Linked DNA regions of Rattus norvegicus. The protein of the gene in region 2 interacts with the protein of the main gene of each other region in a biochemical or structural test. Links are inferred from orthologs where the notes say so. Each region holds a gene or a part of one and is shown on either strand. Other genes may lie near its edges.

Evidence for each region.
Region 1: the proteins of Cltc (region 2) and Tom1l1 form a complex in vitro, tested with the Homo sapiens proteins (2 studies listed by BioGRID and IntAct). The link is inferred for Rattus norvegicus from reciprocal best matches to the Homo sapiens genes CLTC and TOM1L1.
Region 3: the proteins of Cltc (region 2) and Clint1 form a complex in vitro, tested with the Homo sapiens proteins (2 studies listed by BioGRID). The link is inferred for Rattus norvegicus from reciprocal best matches to the Homo sapiens genes CLTC and CLINT1.

Annotation. Positions count from the first base shown.
Region 1 is NC_086028.1:75,988,179-75,991,830, reverse strand, and holds part of Tom1l1 (TOM1-like protein 1), read left to right. Parts: intron 1-121; coding exon 122-244; intron 245-1,160; coding exon 1,161-1,265; intron 1,266-2,697; coding exon 2,698-2,814; intron 2,815-3,652. UniProt on the Homo sapiens protein: Probable adapter protein involved in signaling pathways. Interacts with the SH2 and SH3 domains of various signaling proteins when it is phosphorylated. May promote FYN activation, possibly by disrupting intramolecular SH3-dependent interactions.
Region 2 is NC_086028.1:72,068,104-72,071,855, forward strand, and holds the start of Cltc (clathrin heavy chain 1), read right to left. Parts: upstream 2,589-3,752; 5' UTR 2,491-2,588; coding exon 2,449-2,490; intron 1-2,448. UniProt on the Homo sapiens protein: Clathrin is the major protein of the polyhedral coat of coated pits and vesicles. Two different adapter protein complexes link the clathrin lattice either to the plasma membrane or to the trans-Golgi network.
Region 3 is NC_086028.1:30,834,455-30,838,106, forward strand, and holds part of Clint1 (clathrin interactor 1), read left to right. Parts: intron 1-992; coding exon 993-1,170; intron 1,171-3,652. UniProt on the Homo sapiens protein: Binds to membranes enriched in phosphatidylinositol 4,5-bisphosphate (PtdIns(4,5)P2). May have a role in transport via clathrin-coated vesicles from the trans-Golgi network to endosomes. Stimulates clathrin assembly.

The DNA of each region.
Region 1 (3,652 bases), about 3.9 Mb from region 2:
ACAATTTTCAGTTACTCATTTCCCATCATACGCTTTAAGATGTGTTGGTTCTTGCTATGGTTTTGTTTTTTGGGTTTTTTTTTTTTTTTTCATTCTGGAACTTGATATCTCTTGCATTTAGATGTGGTCCCAGGGCTTCCCGGGAGGTGTAGATGTCAGTGAAGTGAAGGAAGTGTACCTCGACCTGCTGAAGAAAGGGGTTCAATTCCCACCCTTGGATGGAGAGCCTGAGACAAAACAGGAGGTAGGAGGTTTTCTTAGCCCCATGTAAAATAATATACATTGTTTAGGTCCTTTTCATATTGAAAGGGATAACCTTTAATCAGTTTAGCAGAAAGATGAATTTATTAGTATATGGTTATATCTCATGGGATAATACCTGGGTTTAGGCTTTGCCAATCACAGTGCCGTTTGAGGCATAATCTGGTAGTTTGTTAACCATAGGGTGTTATACTATGCTAGAATCTTCCTTCTAAAAAGGTTCTGGTGTTTCTACGCACATTGACAATATATCGAAAAGCAGTGACCTAAAACAACATGGTCATGATTTGCAGCTGTGGCTATCCAGTTACAGTTGAGGACCAGATCTGATCGAGGAAGCAATTCACTGCTGGAGGAAATGCCTTGAGAGCTTGGTGGGAGAGTTAAAAAGACTGCATGAGTTGATTTGCCCTTTTCATTGTTTATTTGTTTATTTCCTTGTTTGTTTGGGGTTTTGTTTGTTTGTTTTGAGACAGATTCTTCTCTGTGTAGTCCTGGCTGTCCTGGGCCTTACTCTGTAGACCAGGCTGGCCCCGAGCTCACAGAGATCTGCCTGCCTCTGCCTCCCAAGTGCTGGGATTAAAGGTGCTTTAGCAACAGGGGAAAGGGAGAACTATAATCTCGAATGGCATGGCGGTTCATGATACAGTGCCTTGGTGAAAACCAAGAGGACTTTTTTGGATAGTCATTTCGTTAATAAGGCCTGTTACGTGACAGCCTACCATTTGCTTAGCGGTCTTCTCTAAATACTGGATATGCTGTGCTCCCAATGATCAACTTCGAGCTAAAACCAACTCCCCAGGACTTTTTAATGAATGCCTGAGTCAGCTGAATGGGAGCCAGGCTTGCGGTGGCTTTGATAATTCGTGTCATACTCTTTCTTTATTTTATATTGATAGGCTGGTCAGATCTCACCAAGTCGACCGACATCTGTCCCCACTGCGCCTGCTCTTTCTTCTATAATTGCTCCCAAGAACCCGACTATTTCCTTAGTCCCTGAACAGGTAACAGAGACAGCACTGTTTATTCACGTTTTCTAAGCATTGGATTTACAATTTGCATTTCCTTAATGGCGTTATGACGGGTTACTATAACGTAACCCGGCCCTCGGTTAATCAGCATCTTTATTTTGATTTCTGAGACAAGGTACCTTCTGAGTAGCTGTCTCTGGCCTCGAACTCACTACGTGCCCCAGACCGGCCCACAACTCTTGATAATGCCCCTGCTTCTGCCTTCCATACGTTGGGGTGGCAGGCATAGGCTGCGTGCTTATGTGTCCACTTCTTTTCCTGTGGGAGGAGAGACTGCCGCGTAGGGAGAAAGTGTCCTCGTGGTTTGTCTCTATGCAGAGTTAGCCTACGGAGTTTAATCTGAATTGAAGGCTCACACATTTAAAAATTGTGCTTGGGAGCGGAGAGACTGTTCAGCAGGTAAAGCTGCCTTCCATCAAGCCTGATGATCAAAGTCGAATGTGTGCCTAGAACCCACACGGTGGGGAGAGAACCAGACACCAAACACTATCCTGTGACTTCACACGCACGCACACACACACACACACACACACACACACACACAAATAAGTACAAATGTTTTTAAGAAAAGAATGTTGACCAGTAAACGCTGTGAACTAGGTCTGAGGGCCACCCACCGACTCCTGGCTTTTTGTCTGTTTGGATGGTGGGTTGGGTTTTGTTTGGTTGGTTCGTTGGTTGGTTTTTGTTTTGTTCTGTTTTCACTTCAGAGCGCCCAATGGCAAGTTGTCTTATTACCTATGTTAATTGTACCAAAGGAATTGCGTTTTCTCCTTAGTCTCCACTTATAAGAGATCTAGATAAATGTAATTAACAATGCTCATTAATATCTTTGCATTAAAAGGCTATCCTTGAAGTCTTTACGCTAATTGAGTTCTTTATATTAATATTAAGTATTTCTTACATTAAAAGCCATGTAATTTCTTCCTCCTAGAATTTAAACCATTTCAAAACGGTTCACTTTCATCTTTCTATAATACCGTGAATACTGTGATCATTCCACAACACTACCTCCTTCCTTTGCTTTTCTGATGCTTTGCCAGGAACTCAGGCTAGTATGTGAGACAATGTTTCTCATTTTCTCCGGGTTCCTATTAACTTCTGCTACTAGGTATTTTTGTTTTATTCATAGTGGTCCAGGTCATTTTGTTTCTGCATCTTTAACTCTCCCGAGGCATAGCCCTGGTTTCTTATAAGACATAACCAAGTCTATTCAGAAAACAACAGGGTACAATTTGTAAAATAATTATATGTTTGCCGAGATCAACGTCAGTAGGCTTGCAAACATTACATTTTTACAAAGGCATTTGGTATTCTAGCATTTGTCCTGTAGGCAGGAAGCAAGGTAGCCAGCTGTGGTCTTTGTGTGACGCTTAGTGACTGGAGGTTGCATTGCCCTTCACAGATCGGGAAACTGCACAGTGAACTGGACATGGTGAAAATGAACGTGAAAGTGATGACAGCCATATTGATGGAGAACACTCCTGGCTCCGAAAACCATGAAGACATAGAGCTCCTGAGGGTATGAGCCCAGGGACGGTCGGGCAAAGAGTTCTCTCAACAGTTACTCTCTGAAGAACTTTGAACTCTGTAGCTGGAAAACTTGTTAATAGAATCTAATATATATGATATATATATATATATATACATATACATATATAACCATTATGATATATATGGTATGCATACATATGTGTATATGATATATATCATATATATTACACAATATATATCAATGTCTATATTATATATAACATATAATGCCATATGTATGTTTTTCCAGAGCCTAAATTCTTTATATCTACTTTTTTTTTTTTTGGAGCTGTGGACCAAACCCAGGGCCTTGCGCTTGCTAGGCAAGCGCTCTACCACTGAGCTAAATCCCCAACCCTATATCTACTTTTTTTTCTCAAAATCTTGTCTTATGCACTCATAGTCATGCCACATACTGACATACATATTTTTTATCTGGGCATTTGTAATACTGTACTATGTTTCGAATTATGTATATAATATGTATATGTATACATGTAATATATAATATACACATTATGTTACACATCGTACACACACACACACACACACACACACACACACACACACACACCTCCCAGCTTCCTTTGATTTCTAAACTTAATGAAAATATACAGTAATCATCTTGTCAAAGATGCAGTAATGATCACAATCAAGCCCAGCCCTTCTATAAAGAATAATTTACTGTAATTTGTAGTCTTGGTCATATGCAATCCAGCCTCACGTTTGCAGTATGTAAAATCTCTTCTTGTCCATCCGTTCATCAGACATTGAGTCCCTGTGATTTGTAGAATTGAAGGTGCTGTTCTAGACCTTAGATGGGTTGG
Region 2 (3,752 bases):
TAAGCGTTTTAAAAGTTGTTTTCTAAGCAGAATGGCAGAGGCTTGGAAATCAAAGACTTAAGATGACAACTGAAACACTCCTTACACTGAAGTGTTAAGAGAGGGATAAAAATCTGAGATCAGGGGGTTGGAGATTTAGCTCAGTGGTAGAGCACTTGCCTAGCAAGCGCAAGGCCCTGGGTTCGGTCCCCAGCTCCGAGGGGGGAAAAATCTGAGATCAGGAGAATACATTATCTTGGAAAAGATGGTGATTTGCCCTTTTGACGAAACTGATCACCATCTACTGGAGTGGAATCCTACCAGCCAAAGCTTAAAGTGTAACATGGTCCTCCAAAGAACAGACAGAGATCTTCAAGAACACTTGTAAAGCTATTTTATAAATATTCAAAATCTCCAAATTTAGGAAAACAGTTTCAAGTATTTGCAGAAATTGTTACTCACATGCCACACCTGCATTAAATTTGTTTTTAATTAGTGACAAGTTTGGATTCCAGTCTGTAGACCATTCAACAATTCTGGTCTCGTGTTTAACAGAAATGAAACACTATTACTCAAATCAACAATGATCATGTGATCAGCAGCTGTCTTTGCTTCTCTTGAATATGGTTTATATACATATTTGCAGAAGGCTATTTCTGATAAACTTCAGTGTGGACAAGGGTTAATTCCAAAGATGGGAGGAGAGAAAACAGCAATCCAATTCATGGCCAAATTAATTAAAGCAAGCAATTAATTAAAGCTAGTTTTTTTTTTTTCGTTAATGTACACAGGCTGCCTCCCTCTTAGCTCAGCTTGAAGAGGTCAGCACACTGTCCGCTAGCATCCAGAACAGTGCCTTCCTAACTCTTTATTTTCTTAACAGAGGAAACTCAAACAAGCTTGAATTGAGGACAAAATTAACTTCTCTGTCAGGATTGTCACTTGACATTTTTCAGACTTTTGCAAAATAGAGATCTTATTGCCAAAATCAGGTGAATTATTTGAAAACTAGTGATGACTGAAGAAAGTGTATTTAGCTCATTTTATGGGCAAAGGTCTATTATCATTTACATTTAAAGTCCTAAAGTAAAATAATTTTTTAATGTAAGCAACACGGTAAAAGTCTATAAAGAAATATTTAATTATTTTACTTGTAGCTGAATTTTAGTTAACCCTGTTTATTATCAAACATCTTTTACGTGTATCAACGGAGAACAGTAAATCAGATTGCCTTCAATGATAAAGCACTCAATAAGTTACCAATATTTGAACTGGATCGTTACACCTTCCCTCATGAAATTAGCCCTTCAAAAGATGAAGCTGAAAGCAGATTTCTTTATGGGGATATTTGGGGGGAAGTAAATTATTATGAATAAATTATGATGTTAAAGAGTCAGGACAAGAGAACCAGGAAAAGCAGCAGTTCAGAAGAAGCTTAATTCAGCGAAGCCCTCCAATGGTCACCTGCCTAGGCCAACTGCTGGCATGGTGCCAGGTTAGACAATGGTGTATTGACTCCAGGATAAGGTGCAGTGGGGGGAGGGGGGCACCCCAGCCTATTAAAAAGAAGCCAGTTATAGATCAACTTGTCAGGTACTGTCTCAGAGCAGGTATGCATTTACAGCACTCCAGGCTCTGTTGAATTCCACACAGTCCTGTGAGACATACTCCTGCCTTAATCCCACAACTACCTGCTAGATTCCAAAAGACCATAAATAACCTCTAAATAACTCTCCCTACCTACAAGAATCAAAGTGAGTCTTAGAACTACACTAACCCTTGAAGAAACCAAGAAAGGAAAAATATGCGCGTTCCCCTTGGGACCTTGACCCCAGGCACCCTGAGACTGACACCGCCCCTAGCCGCCCCTCTATCTTCTTTCTGTTCCTTCAGTGAGTGTGACCTTCGGTTCTTTACAGATTCAGGGAAGGCAAGACACAAGCCACTGCTACCCTAACCCCAAGGTGCCTTTCTCAGCTGTGAGCTGCAGAGCGAAGATGCAGCTCCTCCCCAACCCACCCGCCACACAATTCCTGGGTGCAGACTCGATGTGGAAATCGGAATAGACCAAGGGAAGGTGACAGCCCTGCATCGCCCGGAGTTAACGAGAATTCTTGCTCTGGGAGAAACGCGCGAGAAGCTCCCCCACCTAGCCCCTACCCAAATGAATGAACTGAGTAAAATGGGAAGGGGGGTCTGGTATGCGCAGTTCTTGCAATCCAGGAAGCAGAAATAAGAGGCCGTCAGACGTAAGGCCTGGCCTCGCCGCCCTTTGCACTCCGATTCGTCATTTCCATCCTAGTCTCATATCGTTTAACCCTTTAAGCTTTTAAGACAGTGTCCTTCCTCCATCAATGCCAAATACCGACACCCCCCCACTCCCGTTCTCTCGATCCCCTTCGGGCCGGGCCGCTAGCTTCCTTCCCAATACCCTCGAAAAGTCCCTCAGCAGCCCCGACTAACACGCACCTGGAGATGCTCCTGAAAGCGAATTGGCAGAATCTGGGCCATGGCGCTGTCGGGGAGTATGGTCTCCTCCTGTCACTGGGGCTGCAGGGCAGTGCCTGCCCGGGCTCTCCAAGGGAGAGGAGGAGAAGGGGAAGGGAGGGGGAGGTTGGGCTCAGAGGAATACTCTCCGGGGACGTAGGGAACTGGCAGGCAGACGAGAGAGCTTGGGTCGGGGGCGGAGGCTCCAAGGGCCGGGAGAGCCGCAATGGCGGAACCGGGAGCAGCGCAGACTCCGGAAACGGCTGAGCCCTGCGGAAGGATCCCGGGGCAGAACTCCGCCCAGCCTCCTCACCCTGTCCGCCTTATGTAGCCTTCCACGAACCCCGTGCAGCGGACAGGCGTAGGAATTCAGGGACGCAGTGCGCGGATCGCTCTTCGCTGATGCGGCAGCGGGGAAACAGAGGAACCGAGGGACTACTTTTTCTAGACTCATCACTTTCCCCAGGCTCCGGTTTCTCCCTCCTCCCCTCCCCCCCACCTTTTTTTTTTTTTTAACATTTTGCCACATCATGCGACTCGGGGCGAACTACGTCATTTCCGTAGGCGCTGTAGGACCCACCCACGCACTTCCAGGTGCACGTGATGCGGGTAGGGAAGGGTCGGTTGACGGCTGCCAGAGTGGAGGGCGAGAGTTAGGGACTGGCCGCTGCTCCTGGGGTTGAGGTGGCCGTTGAGCCCCCTGCCGGCGTGGCGACCGGGGCGTGAGGACACCGAGTGCCTGAGGAGAAGGCCGCGGCGTCGGCGCCGCGGTGACTAAGGGAAAACGGCCCCGCCGCAGCGCTCTTTGGGCGGCTGACTGCGGCGCGCCTCCCCCGCCCGGTTTCACGCAGTGGGTGGTTGCTGACACCTCAGGGAGGGGGGATCGTGCTGAGCTGCAAGCCTCCCTGCCCTGACGCACGCCCTTCTGACGCCAGGAGAGCCGGATGGCTCTCGAGTGCCTCAGATAAACCATCTCAAAGGACAGTGAAGGCCATGTGAGAAGTGTCTCCTGCTGGCCCTGGAGAGAGCTTCCGCGGACATTTTGGTGGACTTACACCAGCCTAATGTAGAGATTAGTTTGGCCTTTGAGAGTTGGGAGTGTTCGGCAACCTGAAAATCTTTAAAGGTTTAGATCAAAGGATGGATGGTGAAAGAAACCTCGAGGGCTTTCTTGGAGCGGAGGGATTGACTGTTGGTCATACACGTTAGTAGGATCATTGCCTGTAGTAGCAAAGTGGGCAGTGTAAGCTCTTCAAAACCGGAGCACCTTGCCTGACTACAGCACT
Region 3 (3,652 bases), about 41 Mb from region 2:
ACCAGCACCAAGTCGGAGCTGCTCAGAGCATTTATAGTTCTAAAGTGTGAAGATTTGGAGAATTAGAATTTTTTTTAATAAAATTACAGGATTCTTCCCATGCCTCACTCCATTCATTTGCATTCTTGGTACTAAAGGATGTGGTCCTTTCAGCTAACTGGGTCATGGGGCTCAGACCAGAGTTCTTTTAGGGAAACAGTGCTTAAGTGGTTAGTTAGTCAGTCAATTTCCTTCCCTCCTCCTCCTTTGGGTCCATGCGTCTGTCTGCCCTTCCTTCCTCTTTCACCTGTTACTGAGATGGTGATCTCATTGTGTTGTGCTGCACTGCATAGCTTTGGACTCTTGCTCTCAAATGATCACTGAGCTTCGCTCTGGTGTAGTTTACCGTCATGTCTTGCTAGCTTGCTCTGTGTGTGTGCTCACTCCTTCAGCCTTATTCCCCTCCCCTTCTCCCTTCTCTCTGCACCCCCAAACTCGCTTTCTTGCCTTTCTCTGTTGTTTGTTTGTTGGACGCACATCCACTTGTGCAGAGCCTGGGCTGCCCTAGAACTTGCACTCTCTGCCTCCATCTCCTGAACACAGGGGTTATAGGCATGGACCACAGCACATAGCCTTACTTTCTGTTTAAGATATTGTCATTGGCTTATATTTGTCTAAAAATGAAGAACCATTAAGATAAGAATAAAATAGTCATTGAACTCATTGGATGACTTTAGAAAACTGGAAAGATGTTCATTTGTCTTGTGTTTATAGAATGGCTTCTGTATCTACTCCTGTAGCAGTGTTCAAGGGCTTCAGATCTGTCCTGTCCATCAAGGCTGTGAAGTTACCTGAAGACAGGCTTTTGATTGGCATGGGCTGCACCATGTTGTGTTTGTGTGGCACTGTGGGAGATTCGTTTTCCCTTAAAAATAATTTTCTTAGGAGAAGGAAGGACACTGGAACCTTCCAGATTTAATATCCTCAGTTGTTTTTCTTCGTTGTTTACACAGATGAACGGTATGACCCTGAGCCCAAGTCCAAATGGGACGAAGAGTGGGATAAGAACAAGAGTGCGTTTCCATTCAGTGACAAGCTAGGGGAGCTGAGCGACAAGATCGGGAGCACAATCGACGACACCATCAGCAAGTTCCGGAGGAAAGACCGGGAGGACTCTCCGGAAAGGTGCAGGTACGCTGCCTCTCCACCGCCTCTCCACCACTTCTCCACCACCTCTCCACCGCCTCTCCACCGCCTCTCCACCACTTGCTTAAGGGCTTTGCTTTACGCAGCCGTTTGGTTTGGTTTGGTTTGGTTTAATTTTGATGTATTGCTGTTATCTAAAGCTTAGCCTTTTTTAAAAACACACTTTGTTAGAGAAATCTATATGACACAGAAAATTTGATCATAAAGTACAGAAGGCACTACATACCCTTTCTCTTTCTCATGGTTTCAAGATAATTGTGTTACATTTCTTTTTTCTTTTTTTTTCTTTTTCTTCTTCTTCTGCTTTTTCTTCTTTTTTCTTTTTTTCGGAGCTGGGGACCGAACCCAGGGCCTTGCGCTTGCTAGGCAAGCGCTCTACCACTGAGCTAAATCCCCAACCCCTGTGTTACATTTCTTAACTGAAAAACTAGTATTGATAAGCTGTAGTTACAGTGTACAGTTTAGGCTGGAGGTTACCATGTTGAACATGCAGTATTCTCCAGTAACAAATGTCGCCTCCCTGAAAATGCCCTCTATAAAAAGAAAAGTGGAGCCATTTATAAAGTTGCCAGTCACCTAGTTTTATGATACTAGGTCAGCCCTAAGTGCTAGTAATATTGACTCTTCCGAGCGGTCTGCACCTCCTGTCTGTCCCTAACCGTTCTTGTCCTCTACATTTTTCTTCAGGCATCTCAGTCTTGGCCTCGAGATTTTTACCCTCTCTAAAATTTATAATTGTCATCTTACATTTGGACATCAGACGGTTCCATGGTCTAAAATAAGGTGTGGGGGAAGGGGATAATGAAGCCTACGTTGGAGAGAAGGTTAAAGGCTAAAATTTAACTACCTGAGACTTAGTATTGCCGTCCTGTGCTCACGTGACCAGAGCAATCCTGCGCAGGGGTGCACCTGGAGTAGTGGTAGGCACCTGGAGTCGCACAGGCCTGTGTTTATAAGCTTCATCTTCTGATGTAGGACAGTTATAATAAGCTGACATCAAACAATAGAAGTAAAACCTGAGGCCCACTCAGTCTGCATGGACCTGTGGAAAATGAGTTTGTTGTTTGTTTGGGGTTTTTTGTGGTGCTGGTGCTGGTGCTGGTGCTGGTTTTTGTTTTTGTTTTTGTTTTTTTTTAACTAATTAGCATCTTTTTCCTACCCATACATTTATAATAGTTCAGATTACAGTTCATGGGAATGAAGTTCAAATAAAACTATAGCCAGATTTTAAAAAGGTTTCAAAATACCTGTGTTCAGTGTATTCAGTGTGGTTCCAGAGCCATTAAATCTCTAGAATGCCCTTTTTAAGACTTGTAAGGGCATAATCTTTGAAGGAACAGTAGTATCAGTAATAGGAACGTATCTGCTTTCTACCAGAGGCCTGCAGGTGTAACACTGCAGCCTGAGAGAGAGTGTCTAAGTACTCTCCTGTCTTCCCTTATTAATATTCTACACAGGCTCTTGTGTCCTATGTATAAGTTTTTGACCTGACTTGAAGTGGGGGATGAGGTGTAGGGTCTTAGTGATATAGCAGTGTGTGGTCCTACTCTATTTTACCTTCTTCTGATATCCTTAGGGGCTTCTTCTCCTCTTCCTTGAACTCTGCTTGCTTTTTTTTTTTTTTTTTTTTTTTTTTTGCCTTCCTTGTTTGCCTGGGTGATGCTGATGATGGCCAGTCTGAGGCAGGATGGGTAAGAGTTCTACCTCTTTGATCCGGAGAATTCAGATTAAAGATCCGGACTATATTCCAAATACCAGTTGGTGATGTGTGCATGTTGCATTTTCAAGTGTTGGTGAGAAAACAGCATGCTGTAGACAGAGTTACATGTGACTCAGGGCTTTGTGTGCAGCCTTCTTGCCAGCCTATAAGCTATGCTTTCTGACCCTTGATGTATCTAAGTCCCAAAGTGACTTGTATTAAGTTGAGATTGCTTTAGATTGGAGTCAGAGTTCATCAGTGATACTCATAGTTTAAGGGGAAAGTCAAGCATTTTACTTTAGGATATTCATAAATTAAACTGCCTATCCTACAACTAGGGAATATAAATAATGGAACATACTTCAGGTTCTTGTCCCTTGCTTGCGCGCTCTCTCTCTCTCTCTCTCTCTCTCTCTCTCTCTCTCTCACACACACACACACACACACACACACACACACACACATTGTCTTTTCTCTCCCACTCGCCTGCTCAATCCCAGACAAAAACTCAGTGACTTAACATTAGAGAATAGACTCCTTTCATTCCCAGCATGTGGAAATCCTGGATTCTTGCTTCCTAGAGGTTCGCTTTTATAGAGCTTTTGATTGGTTGACTTGAAATGTTAACATGAGTAAAATAATTGTTTCAGAAATATTTAAAATATAGTTAAGTTTCTACAGTTGACAGTTATGTAATGCTTGATGTAACAGTAGCAAAGTGCAGCACAATTGTAAAAACCAGTTGCTTCACATTCGGGTTCATTTTCA